Linked DNA regions of Schizosaccharomyces pombe. The gene in region 2 interacts genetically with the main gene of each other region. Each region holds a gene or a part of one and is shown on either strand. Other genes may lie near its edges. The genes, in order: cid1, cdc1 and dna2.

Region 1 (5,042 bases), 1.2 Mb from region 2:
CCAATCGTTTTTTCTGAATTCTGAACAAAGAGAGACAAGACCCAAGTCTGAAGTTACTTCTTCATTTTGAGCTTGTCTAATAAACTCAGCAACCCTAGGAGGTGGCTGAGAATATTGATTTTTAGGAGGACTTTTCGTTATCCTCATTTTTGCTTAAAGCATCAAAATCTCGAAATATAGTTAAATACCCACCTTGAGAAAAATGCCAAATTTATTATGTTCTAATGAATTGTACCAACGAACAGAAGGGAAATAGACCCAGCTGAATGTTTGGTAAAAGTTCAAATGTGATGGTTAGCATGCTGCAATGCGTCTACAAATTTGGAAACAATATGAATTTTACGAAAAAATTTGATAAGCTAAAATAATTTCTGTACGCTATAGTAATTAAGAAAAAAAGATAAACTCTTTATATGTGTTTACGCACATTACCGAGGCTAAACGAAAAAATATTTGGTTATTTCCGTTCAATTTAAAGAAATTGATATAAACAATAGCTTAGCATTTGCAATAAATAATTATTAATTATAGATCTATGAAAATTTTTTGGACATTGATGTTAACTATGATGAGCCTATTTTCTCACCAACAAGTAGACTATTAACAAGAGGTTGTACATAAAACAAAGGGGGAAAGGTATTAGAAACAAGAGGTCAAAATTTTTAAAGAAAAATAAAAACATTCCATGCTTTCAAAAGTAAGCAAATAAAAGCAGAGTAATAATGAATGATTACTATGAATCTAGGGGAATGAATATTGATGCGCTTTTTAAGACTTCTTTGTAAAATCACTCAGAATTGTCACCATCGGTTTCATTCAACAATTTTTTGTTAGATTGTTCATCCGTTTTTTTCTGGCGACGAGGCGGAATTGGGGCCTCCTCAAATAATGAATCATAAGGGATAGGATATGAGCGAGAATTGAGCAACCTTGAAGCGGCCATAAATTCCCCTCGAATCCGATACAATCCAGAACTGCTAACTGTCCTACCCACATTATGTGAAATCTCGAAAGGATCTTCAATCGCAAGAATATACCTGTCTTTTATAATTTGATCAGCCGATCCAGTGTGTTCAGTAGCTGAAGTCCATCCTTTCTCTTGCTTTGTGAGGTAACCGTCTGGTCTACGAAAAGTTACTACCTTTTCCCGTGGCTCGAACTTATAAGCATAAAATCTAAAAAAGCCATGAAGTAAACTTCCCAATGAGCTATAATTTTGGGAAGGAGGGATATCTTCCAGTTTATCGTCAAAACCAACGTCAAATCCATCAACTATCTTTTCTTGTTTCAAAGGTGACAACAGTAAATTAGGAAAGACGGGAGGCTTGATAACGTGAATCAGATAGTAAAGAACCATTAGGACGTAACCATAACTGGAAAGAGTTCCAAAGTAAGGAGAGTTGATTTGCTTCCGTTTGGCCCAATGCTTAACAAGAAGGACCATGGGTTTTAGGCGAGCATCTAATTTTGTATATGAAGAAAGTAAAAGCGTATTATGAATAGCTAGACGATTGTTAAATCCAATATCACATTGAAACGAAGCCCCAAATCCATTTTTCGTATCAGATGTTAATTTGATAATGGGAATTCTTGCCCTTTGTAAAAATTTTCCTTCAAATCCTGTCGATAGTTAGTTATGCGAGCCAACTGGAAAGGAAAAAAACAATATTCAGAGATAGTTTGTCTAAACTGAATAACTTTTAATGAATAATTATACTTACCTTCAGCTATAAGCTCTTCATAGAATTGGAGCGCAATTGTATCACTTTGGACGCGCGAATCCATAAGCACGCACAAATCCATATCCGAATTTTTAAGTGCTAAACCAGATTCCAAACTTCCAAAGGCTACCAATTCAGCATCTAAGTCACATATCATTAGAATTGGACATTATCAATATTTGGTAAAGTCTCCACTCTCGTTAACTACATAATTGAGACAGTCCTAAATTTATATTCAAACATACCAGGGGATATTCGTTTAAGGCATAGCCGAAGTGTATCTAATGCCGCTCTCTTTTCTTTAAACTCTTTGTCACTAATTTTAATCTCATTATACACTTCATAGCAAAACTTCGTAAATTCCTTGTGCGAATTAGGGACCTTTTGGTAGCTACAACTTTTTGAAATATGTAAATTTTTGTGAATTTCTGCCTCAATCTCTTCAACTGTGTGAACACCAGGAATAAATTGTGCAGAAGAAATGTTCATATTCGTCTACTGCTCAAAAGGTGAAAGTGGCAAACTTATTCACTTTCTCTTTGAGTAATTATTCACTGTTTAATGGTCTTTGATGCTTCCTTTTACTAATTGAAGCAAGTCAGTTACAGTGTTTGCTTTTGGCAAAAGCTCCTTTACCAATTGATATGTTACTTAATAGCAGTAGGGGTGACAGCGCTAATGGATGAGGAATGAGCTATAAAAAGCAGTAAAGTAATTGAAAAAAGTTAGGAAGAAGAAATCCTAAGGTCCAAATGTTTTCTTTCTCACTTAAGAAGCGAATGTTGTATGGCTAGTAATGGTTTATGTGAAAAAGGAAAATTAGCAAATAATCCGTTGAAAGCCTTAATCATGAATATTTCTAACAATAACTACTAATATTTAGTTTATTTTTATGTCAGCGAGCTATCTTCGTCACAGTTAAGCAAAATAGCTTCACTTGATGATTATGGACGAGCTTAACACCTAAACACTACGCTCTTCCTACTTTCAGATACAAAAAGTAATTTTCGTCCGGAAAAGATAATATATTTTATTAATCTCATAGATTTTACGAAATTTACTAAAAATGCTAGGACAAGGCTTGATTTTTATCAGTTTAGCCTTTGTTGCTCATGCATTAGAAATTCCTATTTCTTGCGCTGTATCACATAATGAGCAAACAGAAATATTTCCACATGGTACTATTGATATCCCAGAAATGACATTTCGTCCTTCGGACTCACAAATTGATTGGAGTAATCTTTCTCACTCTGATTTTGTACAATGTGGAGTATACGAAGATTCTACCAACACATGGCTTGCAGGCGCCAGCAAATACAAAATTGATGAAATAAAAACCCTTCCAAAAGTACCTAGAGACCACTATATCATACTTTGTGATTCATCAGAAAGCAATGAGATTGCAAAATTTACTCAAGTGGTCCACTCATTTGATTTTTCATCCGACTCAGAAAGTGCTGTAGTCGAGCAATTGCATCCTTCTTCTCCAATTCCAATTTTAACTACTGCTGTCAGAAAAAAGGGATCACGTCCATCTAAACCCCAGAAGGAAAAACAAGGAAATAAACAGGGTTCTAAAACCGAAGAATCTCCAAATGTGGACGAAGATGAATTAGAGTCCGAACCTGAGGAAAAGACATTTTTCCAAAAATATGGTTTATATCTCATCCCGATATTGTTTCTGATAATTATGTCTGGTAACAATGCAAATCAACAGGCAGCAAATACGGCGAAATAAACGAGTCATTATATATATGCCTTAAAACAATTGCGTCTCGGCTACGATAATTTTTTGATTATTGCTACTACTTACTGTGCTCTTTACAAATATTCTAATTCATCTATTTCCATTCAATAATACTGCTATGTGCCAGATGTACGATACTTAATAGTACTTTAAAATCTATACAAACATTTGTAATGAAATATCGTATAGGAAAGGTTAAAATAAAAAAGAAGGAAGTTTCTACGTGCACATAACTAATTTAGTCTTTAACAATTATTCCATTCCAACATAAACAAGATTCATTAATAACTAGATATAAACATTCATTACACGCATGAGATAAAATCAATTTTTAACAACAATAAGGAAGGAATTACACATGATTACCGGAGAGTGTGGTTAAGTATTTTTAACATAACCTTCGCGTCAGATAATGTAAAAAATGAGGAATTACACAATCTCACATAAATAGAACATAGTGTGTACAAACACAGAAAATTAAAGAACAGTCGTTTCGTTAAGTCATCAAGGGCTTGGAAGCCTGGTTAACGCCGCTATTTAAATAATCCACGACGTCGTAGAGAAATTTGAATTGCTCAAAGTTTTGAACCATTTTCATCCGTTGTGATCTCAACGAGTTAACACAATTGAATATGAAATCTTTTGAATCTTCCAAATTGGTCGTCTTGGGTAAAATGTTTTTTGGTACCTGAAGTATTTGGTCTACAGCAATAAAAGTACCAGTGCGTCCTACGCCTGCTGAACAGTGAACGAACATTGGTCCATCATTGGGAACCTTATCAATACAACGTATGATTCCCGTGATGCTTTCAATATCTGGATGGGTTTTGTCAAACCACGTGTGCACCCAAAAGTGATGTATATACTTTGGAGGACCATTAGGTTTATCCAATCGAAACAAATGAGTGTTGACCTTCAAATCTTCAAAGGTTTCATATTTTTGAACAGATATGCGTAATCCGCCTTCCAAGCATAATGCGTGATCTTTGTTATCTGGCCAATATTGAGAACATTTCTCACTTCCCGCCTCATACAGATTTGTGAGCATTACGATAACACCATTTGTTCCTGAGTTATGCCAAACCATTTCCCAAAAGTCTAAAAGAGTTCCCGGCTTAGGGGCCTGGCAGGCAATATATTTTTTATTTCCAACGTCTATATGTGAAGCATTAATATAATCAGAACATCCTTTTGGAACGGCTAGACGGACTCTTGTTTTATCGTAGGGCACGATATCTGTGTAACGATTTTTTCTTGAAATGGAAGTGGAGCGGCTGGAAGCTAAACAGCACCAATCAGATTTACTGTCATTAAACGCTAGGGATCTAGTCATTTCCATTTCCTCAAGTCTTTTAAACTTATAAAAAATAGAAGCAGTATTTAAATCCGCAAGCACCTCACAAGGAGGAGGAGAAACCTTTTTGGCACCCCAGGGATTACAAGTAAAGGGTCCTTTGTTTTCCTTGGAGAAAATGCTTCCCTTGGTCTCTTTATTAAAGCACGGTTTGTTAGCTCTTCTTAGACCGCCTGGTTTTGGAGCATCTCGTGTGTTTGATAAACCAACAGATGGTTTA
Region 2 (4,787 bases):
TCTTTAGGTGTGCTACTTTCTCGATTGCAATCGAAGAAACTGTTCATTTCCAATGAAATACAGAAGCAATGGCATAAAAAGGATGATTTTACAGAATACGAAGATATTGTACACGAACTTATAGAACTTCCTGTTGTTTGCGCGCAAAGCATAGATGGTGGGTGTGTTTACGAGGTTATTAATCTTGTTCAGTCTGTTTTAAGAAGAGTCACTAAGCTTTTTCAATTGAAAGAACCTTGGAAATTATCAGATGATTCTCAAGAAAAGATTGACACTTTAATGTTAGTAGCTCACAGCCTACGCATTAGCGGAATTCTCCTACAACCTATAATGCCAACCAAGTCGACTGAGTTATTAGACCAATTAGGAATTCCTAAAAACCAGCGCTCCCTACAGAATGCAACTAACGTTTTTGAACCTACGGAGTTCACGTTCCACAGTGGTAATAATTCTCATTTGTTTGACAAAAGAACTCAATGAGACGTGTAGATCAGATAATTATGATGACAACAGTAAGAAAAAACTTATTTATTTAATAAATACATGATTAAATATTCAAGATATTTTGCATTAAGAAGTAATTGGAGTCTCTGCTTTGACTGACATGGGGCGGAATTGAATAATTTCTACGTTGAGCGTATGCATATTTATGAGAACAAGTACACCAGTCTTACGAAATTCGGGAACGGAAACCAATTGTATTCTGTTTCCCTCATTAATGACTGTTTTGCAGCCAAATTTCGGTTGATTACCACAAAGATATAGATCAGGCATTTCCTCCATTACAAATGTATCTTTGTCGGTGAAAGGATAGCACCCTAAAATCATTAGCAAATATATCGTTTGAAAAATGTACAGATTACTTACATAAGGTATCAGGGCTGGTAGGTGTGATATGATTCCATAGTAAAGTGTTTTCCATGCATTGAAGTGAAGATTTTTTGGGATGATATTTTCGGAGATCATTAATGTTTTGGCCGCTAGTAGCCAACACAAAATGATTGCCAAGAGAAAGCCAAGTGGGATTCGTAACTGTTTGTAAAGAAGATCCCAACCAAACTTTTGATTTAGTAAGTAAAGCGGGATGCAAAGGCTGTTGAGGAAGGATAGTTGAACTGTAATCATAAGGACCAGGCATTAAAGTGACATCTATGCTGGAACACACTTGATCAAGAAAATTATCTAGTTGGAAGGTGGGATTTGGATTGTAAGCAGACGTGTCATAGCCATATCTTTTTACTTTTTTCTTGCCAATGGGCACGGACGCAGAAGCGGAGTCGGCAATTTCTATAGAAGGTGCTAAGCAATTTCCGAGAATAATTAGCCTTTTGATGGAGGAAGGGGAAAAGGAAGAGACATGTGGAAGTGTTCCTCTTAGGAAATCTACAAGCTGATGAACTTGAATGCCTTCTATGCCGTCATTTGAGAGACCTAAGCCACTGACTGCCGCAATGTACTCTGGTTGAGCTTGCGATTCATCTGTAGTCATTGGAATGGAATGAGAGAAGATGCCTGGAAAACAAACGTCAACGACAACGAAACGACCTTGTTCATCTTCATGGCCCAAAACTGCAAGAACAACTCCTGTAACAACGCCAGCGTCATACAAAAAGCTTCCGCTACAATCTATACGGCCATAGTCATCCTCAAGAGCATATTCTATATCACCTGAAGCAGCATCTTCTGGGCTAACATACGGAGATTCTTCAGTAGTGGTGACAATTGTATGAAGTTGTGTGACATCGTTCATAACGTTTGGCTTAAGAGCTGTAGTCATATAAGCGGTAGCGACAACCCAACAGTCTTCATCTGACTTAACATCTAAAACGCGTTCCAATCGCTGTTTATCCGGCCATTTTTTTGAAGCGGCTTCTGTGATTCTGGGTCGAAGAGCGGTAAGTCGGGCGAAATAGATGCTGGCGTACTGTTGACTATACGTTTGCTGACTTAAACTAAGCTCCAAGCGTTTAGTTTCTTCACAAGGAATTGAATGTCTGACTTCAACCATGATTATTTTGTAAATATATACAGTTAGGTAAGTTAAACACTTACCAAAGGAGTAGTCAGGATATTAAATCGAGATGCTCCACGAAAAATTTCACAACAATGGAGAGTGAAGAGTTGTCTACGATTCATGCAATTACTAAAACGAGCGAGTATTGCAAGTAAATGTGCGGAAAAAAATATATATATATATATATATATATTTATATGATTTCCCAAAAAACCTATGAACGGCCCCAAAACACCTGTTTAAAAAAAAGAGGAATAAATATAATAACGCTTTTGTTGTTTTTTCAATAAAATCAGTTCTTTAAATGTTATTGACTAATTTACACAAGCAGCATATGTAAAGAGTAAGGAACTTCAAAGGTGTGCTATGCAAGGTTAAGGGGAATCAATTTCATGGAATGGAACCAGGTTTAGAAGGTTCGAATAAGCAAAGGAGTTGGATGCAGCAGATCAACAAGTAAGAATACGTTGTATATGAGAAAGTCGTGGTTCCTAACATGACTAGCTGTTGTTACCTACAACAATAAAGTGTTTGAAGAACATCTTTTTTTAAATGTAAACAAAGAGGTAAACTTGACGAAAAGAGAAAGAAGCTCAATAAAGGTGAATGTTTACTAATTGAGGATGAACAAACATCATGTGGGTTTATTTCGTTTCATACAATTAACATTTTTCTCAACCTTGAACAATCATGATGAATCCATATATTTAGTCTATCGAGTTTTATCACACAAAAGTAAAAGAAGCAAATTCCCCAACGAAGTAAATGAACTACAAACCCTTTCCTATAGCATAAAAAGTGGGTTTTCGATTTATTTGATGATTGTAAATTAATAACATTATGTTAATTAATAGGAGGAAAGGTAGGCCAACATAGTGCCCTAGAAATGGTTAAGGTGATTTCTGTATCTTACTATATTACTTATTAAAGATGTATATCAAAACTACATTAATTTAAATTGAGGTTTTATTTTATTCCGTTGAAATCTGAATATTAAATAACGCAATGTTGATCGGTCACACTATTACCCCATATGGAAAAGTATTGTAGAAGGAAAAGCAAGAATAGCAAAACCAAATTCAAATGTTTAAAGTAAAATGAAAAACTTGCCGATTTTCTTCTTCTTCAAAGATATCAATACATCCTTTATAAAAAAGCCGCTTGTCACGAGAGGTCAATGAAGCGGTATTGCCTGTTGTCCGATATCAGAGAGCTAGCTATAAATAGACTGTGGACTGTTAACATTCAGTATCGGCTACAGCTGCGGGATATCGAACACAGGGATAATCGAGTATACTGAGATGAATCAATGTTGCACGATTTAAAAAGGTTTTAACGACTCATAAACTTGTGTACCAAAAAAAATAAGAATCTCTATGTTAGAGAATAATAATTACTTGCATAGCCAGCCAGTTGTGTTTTAGTTGTTAATATACTAAATAGAAATAACTTGGCAACTTGAATGAAATGGAAATAAAATCTTATTGTGTGTGATTAATGCAGTAAAACATAAAAAAAATGAGAAACTGTTTACGTATTAAAAGGTCATACGGTTTAAAAACGGTTGAAAGTTTGATAAATTGAAGATCGAAAATTACGATGAGATCTTTTGCTTAATGCACTTGTATAGTCAACATTTCACACAGTTACATTTTCACATTCGCCGGAATGTCGAATTGTTTAAAAAACTTTTACTTTATAGTGTCTTGCAAGAAGGACCTGCCTGCATACTGTAAAAATTTCACTTTCGCACTGCTAGAGTTTGGAACAAACGAGCCAATAACGGTTCTGCGGACAGTTGTCGGTTTCCGCTTCCCCTGAGGTTAAACTAAAGCAGTAGAGGGATTTTGTGGGATCGGAGTTTGAGAATCCATGTTTTATATAAAAATTTCAGAGTTTTGTTGCTTTTTGTTTGTGCTCATCTGCCCCGATTTTTTTCCAAACAGTAAGTAACAAATCGATGCTGCTAAAATATTGATACTCACTGGATACCTTGTAGGGAGCTTGAAGCAATAGTTGTGCAATGATTGTGAAAGTCAATTTGGCAGAATGATGGGGCCTCGTGGTTGCTTGGTTAACGAATTAATAGAAAGCAACAAATCATTCAGATAAACCGGAAGAGACATAGATGGATATGAATTGTTCTTGTTCCTATATGTGCGTGCGATACATTACCGAAATTCTCTTCACTTCCGTATTCTCTCACTGCATGTTTGCGGAAAGTCAACGGACCAAATAAAAAAGTACATCGAGCTCCTTGTTAAACATTGGGACAACCGTCTAGGCTCGATCACGGATGTTAAAGCAGTCCTCACGCTGAACTTGTTTGGATTGGTGTGTGAAATGCAAGAGACAGGAGAAAAGAAATGAGGTTACGGAGAGTAAGCAAGTCCCAGAATTCCCGAAAAGCAAATTCCAATCTAACGAGCTAGTTGTTTAAACAACCAAGTACAAGGGTCCTTGGGGTGACAAATTGTCCAAGACAACAGGGACACCAAAAGAGAAGGGAACAGCCGGACTGAAAATAAGTCAGAAAAGATAAAATGCCAGTGCTACTGAAATTGAAACATTCTGCGACATTCACGGTATGGTATGACAGAATTATTCCCAACATCCTTTTTGTAGAAGTATACTTTTCATTTCAACAATCTATTCTTTTTTAAGTTGCATTTTTGGAAGCTTATTTTACCTTAACTGGCATCTATTTAGAATACCTCGGCTATGAGATGTAGCGCAGTACCGTATTTGATCCTCGTTCTTTAGTTGTCTTTTT
Region 3 (7,948 bases), on a different chromosome or scaffold from region 2:
GTTTGCTGTATTATCCAGTACATAGAATCCTTGTTCATCACCATAATAAATGGAGGGTGCTCCTGGAAAAAGAAAGTACGTTATCATGGTTCCTAATAGCAAACGTTCTAATCCAAATTCAATTGCTGACCATCTAAAAACATCATGGTTAGTAATCCCTAGCATGTGACGCGGGTCAACTTTATGAGTGTTAGGATTATAAAAGTCTTCATTAACTGCCATAGCATTCCACAAATCTGTAAAATCTACGGGAAGATCATGACCAACTTGCAGATCTCCGTCCATTTGCAGAAATCTGGTCATGGCACGGTAGAGTGAATAGTGAAAAGCAGAAGCATCTAGGGCATTCGCTTTAGGTTCCCTCAGAAAGTAGTTTTCTTTAAGGGATGATGAATTAAGTGAAGTAAGTATCGACGGAGGACGTTGATCTGGTTGACGACCACGACCGTAATAAATTGAGCCATAACTTGAAGAACCAGTTACTTCACCAGGTATAAAAAAATTCTTTTTATTAAACGTTGCTGCACACCCCCTCACAGAATGAGCCCATGAAGCAAGAAAATCAACTGTAATTTGAGTAGCTTTATCAATACGAAAACCATCCACATCTAACATGGCAATGATCATACATGCGAAGTGTTTTAACTTTTCTGAAACCGATGGCCTCCATTCTCTAAGTCTATCTTGGACAGAAGCAAACTTTGAAAGCTGACGTTCCCAATCAGGATGAGTACCAAAGGCTTCTGTATCGCCATACTGATCGAAATCTGAATCATAACAACCAACATAATCAATCACAACAGGCGCGCCATCTTCACCCCAAAATCTGGGAAGCTCACACTTTGGGTCATATTTATTTGTGAAATTCCAGTCTGGATAAATGACGTTGCTTTTCCACACCGCCTCATGTTCAAATAAAGAAAATGGAGTAGTACTGTTCAGATACTTCCGAAACCCTATAAGATCTCCCAACGTAGAAATTGTAAGGTCCAGAACTAAATAAAACCCTCTACGATGGATTTCTTCTATCGTGTCACGCCATTGTGCAATTGTTCCAGAATGGTGATCGAGGATGGTGTAGTCCAGTGGTGAGTACTGATCAGCACCCCATGGCTGATTTAAAAATGGTGTACCGGCGATGTAGATAACCTTATTCGTTAACGAGCATAAAAGCATAACTCTATCTTACCTTTATTCCCATAATCTCCAAATAATCTAGTGAGTCTTTCAGGCCTATTATATCCCCTCCGTTTCGAAAACCAGTTTCATAAATATCATACTCATAAATAGTATTGTTAGCTTCATTATTTCTAGGATCACCATCTTTCCATTTATCCAAAATAACTGTGTAAAATGGCACTTGCCAATCATCTGGACTGGGATGGTATTGATGGTTTTCCCATTTTCCCCAATAATCTAGAGGATCGGTAGCTGATTGATTTTGGTTTAAATTCCATAAAGATTCTCTTTCATCATATTTAGCAGTAAAGACCAACCTTGGTATACTTAATATCAAATTCAAGACGAGAATATTCTTATTTCGCATCGTTTATGGTATTTCCTCAATTGACGTGAAGAAGCTGCCCTGTTCAAAATAGTTTTATTAAAATTAATGCGATCGTTAATGCTATTATATATGAATTTATCAAGATTTTTCCCGATTCAAATGATGGTTGCTTCTAAATACGAGAAGAGTACAATAACCAATAAGTCAACTTTTTGGAATGTAAACAAACAAACGAACCTAAAAAATTTATATTAATTTTTGCTTACACATGCATTTCTATTTTAAAAATAAATTTTAAAAAAATTAAGAAGGAATTTTATTTTATAATTAAATCGCAGTTTGCGCTTTTGTATGCAAACGGTCATTCAGTTAATAAGCTTATACTTAAGAAGAGTTGAAGCGAATTTCGATACAGATAATATTTATTAATTATGTATTAAGGAAAATCAATAATTTTGCTTTCATCGGACTTGGTTTTAGTTCAATTTACCTGTGAACGACTTCACAAGGTTCATTGTAAAGATTACTGGCACATATTCATGTGTAATTTTATTTAAAATCAATCGAGAACATGACTGCGGAAAACCTAAGGAAATAAATTAACTAGCATTGTTGGCGTTAGGGAACCGAGTATCTATAAAACTGAAACCTCCGACAACCATACTCCAAATATCTATTTTACGAGCATTGCCTATTATTTTGAGAATAAGCGCAGTCGTTAAGGCTTTATTTTAATTTATTTCTATTTATTTTTTCTTTGCATTTACATCGTTGATCATCATTCTTTTTCACGTGTTTTAGTCGTTCTTTTCAAAGCTCATTACCTGGTTGAATTTTAGCCTGGTTATTTGAGTATAATTATAACAAACTTTTTTATTTTTTAATGTTTATTGCCTTCCTTTTTTTGTAAATTAATAATGTTCAACGACCAGTCGAAAACAACTTCATCTGTGAAAGGTATATGTGCCACTACTGACAACAATCATGGTAATTTAAAAAAAACTAATTCAACTCCTTTCAGGAAAAACTATTTGCTAAATGGGAGAACTAAATTGAAGCTGGAAAATTTTGCGTACAATGCATCTACAGAAATTAGTTCACCTAAAATCTCTGAAAAAAAGCATTCTTCATTACCAATTAAACGAAAGAATACTTTTAATGAATCCTCAACATCTTTTTCCCCATTTACTAAAGCTCATAAAGAAATTACTGACGATTTAAAGCCTGACAAATCTTTCACGCGGAAATCTGACTTGAATAGCCAAGACATGCCAGGTATGATTTTTCTTGTATTCAGACGTGTATTTTAACTTTTAGAAGTATGTTTTCAAGAAACTTCGAAGGATTTGTGTCGTAGCTCTTCTACTCAACATTTGCTGGATCATCAAACGACGGACTCAACGATTATAGATATGAAACCAGTGTCAACGAACTCAAAATCTGATGTGTTTACATTATATACGGATGAAACTGTCCTATTACGACGATGTGCTTCAGATAATAAGCCACTGATAAACAATAATTTGTCGAGTTCAAATGTTTCGGAAAACCAGAGTAGAAGCTTCGGATCGTATGATGAAGTAAAAAACCAAGGAAATAACCTGCATAAAGTCCCTAGCTTGGTGTCTATAATTCGTAATGCAAGATCATCTGAGCAATCAAGAATTGCTGCAAATTCCAGTTGTCTTCTCAAAGGATCAGATACCGAAATTGACGAGGATGATTTTGCCTTAGAAGCTGAAGATCTGGCAGCATTAGATTCCCTTGAACGCCAATACTCACAATTACCTAATTCTACAGTAACTGCTTCTGCAAAGGACATAGAAAAGACAGCTAAGGTCAACCATGTGGGAGGTGATTTGCAATCTTATTGTTCAGCAACAAAAGCATCTGATGCTACAATAAATGAAGAACCTGTGAACCTTGCTCTTGATAAAGCTTGTAATTCATTGCCGGATATCAATAGCGACTTTATCGATGATTGGGATGATTCGTGTGATGGATGCACTCCTGGTGAATTGTGCGAGTTTTCCTCCGAATACACAGTATTAGAAGTTCACGAAGACTTCATTTTTCATGAAGGGAATCACTTTCGACAATTAAAGTTGATTTTGGAAGCAAATGATATACTGCATCAGTTATTTTTACGCGGTGATTGGACTGAGACTAGTATTTTTGTAGGGGATTCTATCCGTGTTGAAGCTACATTTGACAAAGATAATACCGCTATCGTTGACAACGATAAAGGACTTATTATCATACATCCGAAAATTTTAATGTCTGCTACGGCAGTGGCCAGCTCTTTTCCTTGTTTGAGGAAAGCCGTAATATCTGACAGGGTTGGCATTTATGGACCTCCTACAAAAGCTATGGTAACTGGAAACATTTTACATGATTTTTTTCAACACGCATTATACAGAGGTATTGATGCCCTTGAAAATGTTGATATCAACCTTGAAACATCAATAAAAACATACATCTCTGATATCTATTTTGCTGATTTGTCGCTCGATGAAATTCGAGAGGAACTTGATGCGAGGCTTCCCCTTCTTAAATCTATTGTTGAAAGATATTTAATAAGTAAAAAAAATGACAACAACAATGAAAGTATTCACATTTCAAGGCTTCTCGATATTGAGGAATCCATATGGTCACCCAGATTTGGATTAAAAGGTAATATCGATGCTACAGTTGAGGTGGTTTTAACTGAAAAACCTGAGTCTTCGTCAACCCTCACACTTCCGTTAGAGCTTAAAACTGGCCGATATGTCGACAATATTAGCCATTTTGCTCAAAGTTTGCTTTATACATTACTCATTTCAGATCGTTATGGTATCAATACTAATCAGGCATTATTATGCTATTTGGAAAATAGTACTATCAAGAATTTGGTTGCAAGTAACTCCCAACTTCGAGGGTTGATCATGACAAGAAATTCTCTTGCACAGCATAACTTTAGGCGCAGCCTTCCTGAAATGATTTCGAACCGAAAAATTTGCGATCACTGCAGTTTAGTTTCTGAATGTTTGTTCTTTCAAAAGATGAGTGATAAAGGAGTAGCTAATAGTAACGGCTTGACTGAGTCATGGAATGAATGGATGCGCGAAGTAAAAGATGAGGATCTTGAATTTTATAAGAAGTGGGAGAAGTTATTAAATCAAGAGGAACGACTCTTACTACTAAAAAGAGGCGATGTGTTGACTTTTGATACAGAAGAGCTAGAAGCTTATGGAAAAACTCTGTATCCTTTATACATTACTAAAGAGGATATCGTTTGTTTAGAAATTGATGACAGGGTTTTTCATTACAAATTCGCTTTTTTAAATGACAATGGTTATCCTCGAAATTTCTTGCACTCAGGCTTCAGCGTTGGTGAACGAGTATTTATTTCTGATGAACATGGACACTGGTCACTAGCTAAAGGACACATAGTCCATATTCAAGATTCATGTATTGAAGTACGAACTCGTCATCGACTTCATATTCCATGGCTAAAGATGCCTAACTTTGATTTCAAAAAAAACCAGGTATTTTTTGGTAACTATGAAGATTCCAAATTGTCATTTATCGGAAGTAACCATACGAGGTACAGAATTGATAAGGACGAATTTTCGAGCGGAATTGCATCAATAAGAGGTACCTTGATGTCTTCTGTATTACCAGATGCTCCCTTAATTATAAGGGACATGATTATCCGTTTGAAGCCTCCAAAATTTTGTAATAGTGCATTAATCGATCCTGAATTTTTGAAATGTTTAAACGAAGATCAAATTACAGCTTTAAAGAAATGCCACGCTGCAGAACATTATAGTTTGATACTCGGAATGCCTGGAACGGGGAAAACCACTACAATTTCTAGCTTAATCAGATCATTGCTTGCCAAAAAGAAGAAAATACTTCTTACTTCTTTTACGCATTTAGCAGTTGATAACATTTTAATTAAACTGAAGGGTTGTGATAGCACAATCGTCCGCTTAGGATCTCCTCATAAAATCCATCCCCTAGTAAAAGAATTTTGTTTGACTGAAGGAACGACGTTTGACGACTTAGCGTCATTAAAACATTTTTACGAAGACCCCCAAATAGTTGCATGCTCTTCTCTAGGGGTATATCAGTAAGTAATTGAAAGCGACGGCAATGAACAAACTACTAACAACATTAGTTCCATTTTCAATAAAAGAAAATTCGATTATTGTATAATTGATGAGGCATCCCAAATACCTCTACCAATTTGCTTAGGCCCTTTGCAGCTTGCTGAAAAATTTGTTTTAGTTGGTGATCATTATCAACTTCCTCCTTTAGTAAAAAATTCAAGAACATCTAAGGATGGTTTGTCGCTCAGTCTATTTAAATTACTATCAGAAAAGCATCCTGAAGCCGTTACCACTTTAAGACTACAATATCGTATGAATGAAGACATTAATTCATTATCTAGTGAACTTATTTATGGCGGCAATTTGGTGTGTGGGTCCAAGACGATATCCCAAAAAAAATTAATTTTGCCAAAAGCTCATCTAAGTGATGGTTTACCCGATTCGTCGTCTAGCCTACATTGGGTCAACAAGTTAATCAATCCTAGTCATTCAGTCATATTTTTTAATACCGATGATATTCTGGGAGTTGAATCAAAAACTAATAATATTCTAGAAAATCATACTGAAGCTTTTTTGATAGAACAAGCAGTTTCCTCCTTCTTGGAACGAGGCGTTAAGCAAAGTTCTATCGGGATAATTTCAATTTACAAAAGTCAGGTGGAGTTGCTTTCTAAGAATCTTAAATCATTCACTGAAATAGAAATTAACACTGTCGATCGTTATCAAGGAAGAGACAAGGACATCATTTTAATATCTTTTGTGAGATCCAACAGTAAAAACTTAGTGAGTATTGAACCAATTATTTACACAACTGCTAACCATTTATTTAGGTTGGAGAATTGCTACGCGATTGGCATCGTTTGAACGTTGCTTTAAGCAGGGCGAAAGTGAAATGTATTATGTTTGGCTCGTTATCTACTCTTTCGTCTTCAAATATAGTTTCTCATTTATTGAAATTATTAGAAAAAAACAAATGGATTTTCACGTTAAATGAGAATGATATAGCAACGAAATTTGACGAGAATAGCTCTCCAATTAAGGATTGTTCTCAGGTTGCAACGACAAATAATGCTAAAGTTATTATTAGAAAGAACCAAAGGTTTTTTAATAGTGACAATTTATGTGAAAAAGCTATTTTACCTCAACTGGAATTTTGATAATCTACTTCAAAAAACTCAATATTTTACTGGATACGATCTTCATAATGAAGAATGTATATATAAATGCCTAAAATAAAATTCATCTGATCCTTGTTCATGAATATAAGTATTAATCCCTCCATGATATATAAACATCGTCAGTACGATATCTTTGAGTAATCGTCGATTCTGCGACGGCACATCGGTCCCCGGTTTTATAAGCCAACAACCCTGCTTGGGCTATCATTATACCATTATCAATACAGAAACGTTCATCTGTAGAAAAAACATCAGCGCCTCTATCCGAACTCATTTCAGCCATCATTTGTTGGAGACGTTCATTGCATCCAACACCTCCAACAATTAAAACAGAATCAGCTCTGATATGTGCCATCGCGCGTTCTGTAATTTCAACTAGCATTGCAAAGCCAGTTTCCTGTAAAGAGTAACAAAGATCTTGCTTTGTAACAGAACTCGGATTTTTTGGGTCTAATAGCTCTGTAGCTGCCGCTTCAACCCCTGACAACAATCCGGAAAATGAACAATCCATACCTTTAACAGTATAGGGTAACTCTATAAATCTTTTGCCTCTAGGAAAAAATTAGTATAAAACATCAAAGTGAGTCTTACTTTTTTGCTTCTTGCATAATATTGTAACCAGGTGAAGGTGCATTGGACAAACCAATGATTCTGGCAAATCGATCCAAACAATTGCCTATAGCAATATCAAGCGTTTCACCAAAAATCCTATACTTCTTCTCTGAGTATGCAATTACTTGAGTGTTTCCCCCAGAAACATAAAGCACGACAGGATTTTGTGCACCCGTAATTTCACGACCCATTTCAATGTGACCAATACAATGATTAACTGCTACTAAAGGTTTCTTGTGAATTAGTGATAACATCCTAGCACAAAGAGCTACACTATTCAGAGGAGCACCGATTCCTGGCCCCTTTGTGAAACAAATGCAATCAATATCTTTAAAAGAAATTTTTGCCTCAGCAAACGCTTGCTTAATTAAAGGGATTATCCACGCACGATGATGCTTAGCAGTATCGCTGGGCAAGAATCCCTGTCCGGGAGGAGTGATATAAGTGTGTCTGACATTTGCTAATATTTTAGCCGATCCATTGGTATCATGCAAAATAATACCAACGCCTAATTTGTTTGCTGAACCCTCTAATCCAAGTGCAATTAAAGGTTTTCC

Evidence for each region.
Region 1: of cdc1 (region 2) and cid1, extra expression of one rescues a mutant of the other (dosage rescue), as found in Schizosaccharomyces pombe (one study listed by BioGRID).
Region 3: of cdc1 (region 2) and dna2, extra expression of one rescues a mutant of the other (dosage rescue), as found in Schizosaccharomyces pombe (one study listed by BioGRID).

What each region holds. Positions count from the first base shown.
Region 1 is NC_003424.3:5,203,881-5,208,922, reverse strand, and holds cid1 (terminal uridylyltransferase Cid1), read right to left. Parts: upstream 2,344-5,042; 5' UTR 2,211-2,343; coding exon 1,967-2,210; intron 1,863-1,966; coding exon 1,722-1,862; intron 1,621-1,721; coding exon 788-1,620; 3' UTR 501-787; downstream 1-500. Other genes in the region: ptr1 (E3 ubiquitin-protein ligase), read right to left, coding at 1-147; protein Emc10, read left to right, coding at 2,788-3,459; protein tyrosine phosphatase Pyp2, read right to left, coding at 3,965-5,042. UniProt on the Schizosaccharomyces pombe protein: Cytoplasmic uridylyltransferase that mediates the terminal uridylation of mRNAs with short poly(A) tails such as such as act1, hcn1 and urg1 mRNAs, hence facilitating global mRNA decay. Uridylates the 3' ends of actin mRNAs upon S-phase arrest.
Region 2 is NC_003424.3:4,012,271-4,017,057, reverse strand, and holds cdc1 (DNA polymerase delta small subunit Cdc1), read right to left. Parts: upstream 2,009-4,787; coding exon 868-2,008; exon of another isoform or gene 819-867; coding exon 571-818; 3' UTR 501-570; downstream 1-500. Other genes in the region: msm1 (methionine--tRNA (Met) ligase), read left to right, coding at 1-480; SPOM_SPAC27E2.14 (uncharacterized protein), read left to right, coding at 4,381-4,395, 4,447-4,536.
Region 3 is NC_003423.3:3,591,169-3,599,116, reverse strand, and holds dna2 (DNA replication endonuclease-helicase Dna2), read left to right. Parts: upstream 1-2,160; 5' UTR 2,161-2,424; coding exon 2,425-2,782; exon of another isoform or gene 2,783-2,827; coding exon 2,828-5,621; intron 5,622-5,669; coding exon 5,670-6,384; exon of another isoform or gene 6,385-6,406; intron 6,407-6,431; coding exon 6,432-6,758; 3' UTR 6,759-6,826; downstream 6,827-7,948. Other genes in the region: cell wall alpha-1,3-glucan synthase Mok13, read right to left, coding at 1-1,149, 1,190-1,546; kae1 (EKC/KEOPS complex N(6)-L-threonylcarbamoyladenine synthase subunit), read right to left, coding at 6,871-7,330, 7,371-7,948. UniProt on the Schizosaccharomyces pombe protein: Key enzyme involved in DNA replication and DNA repair.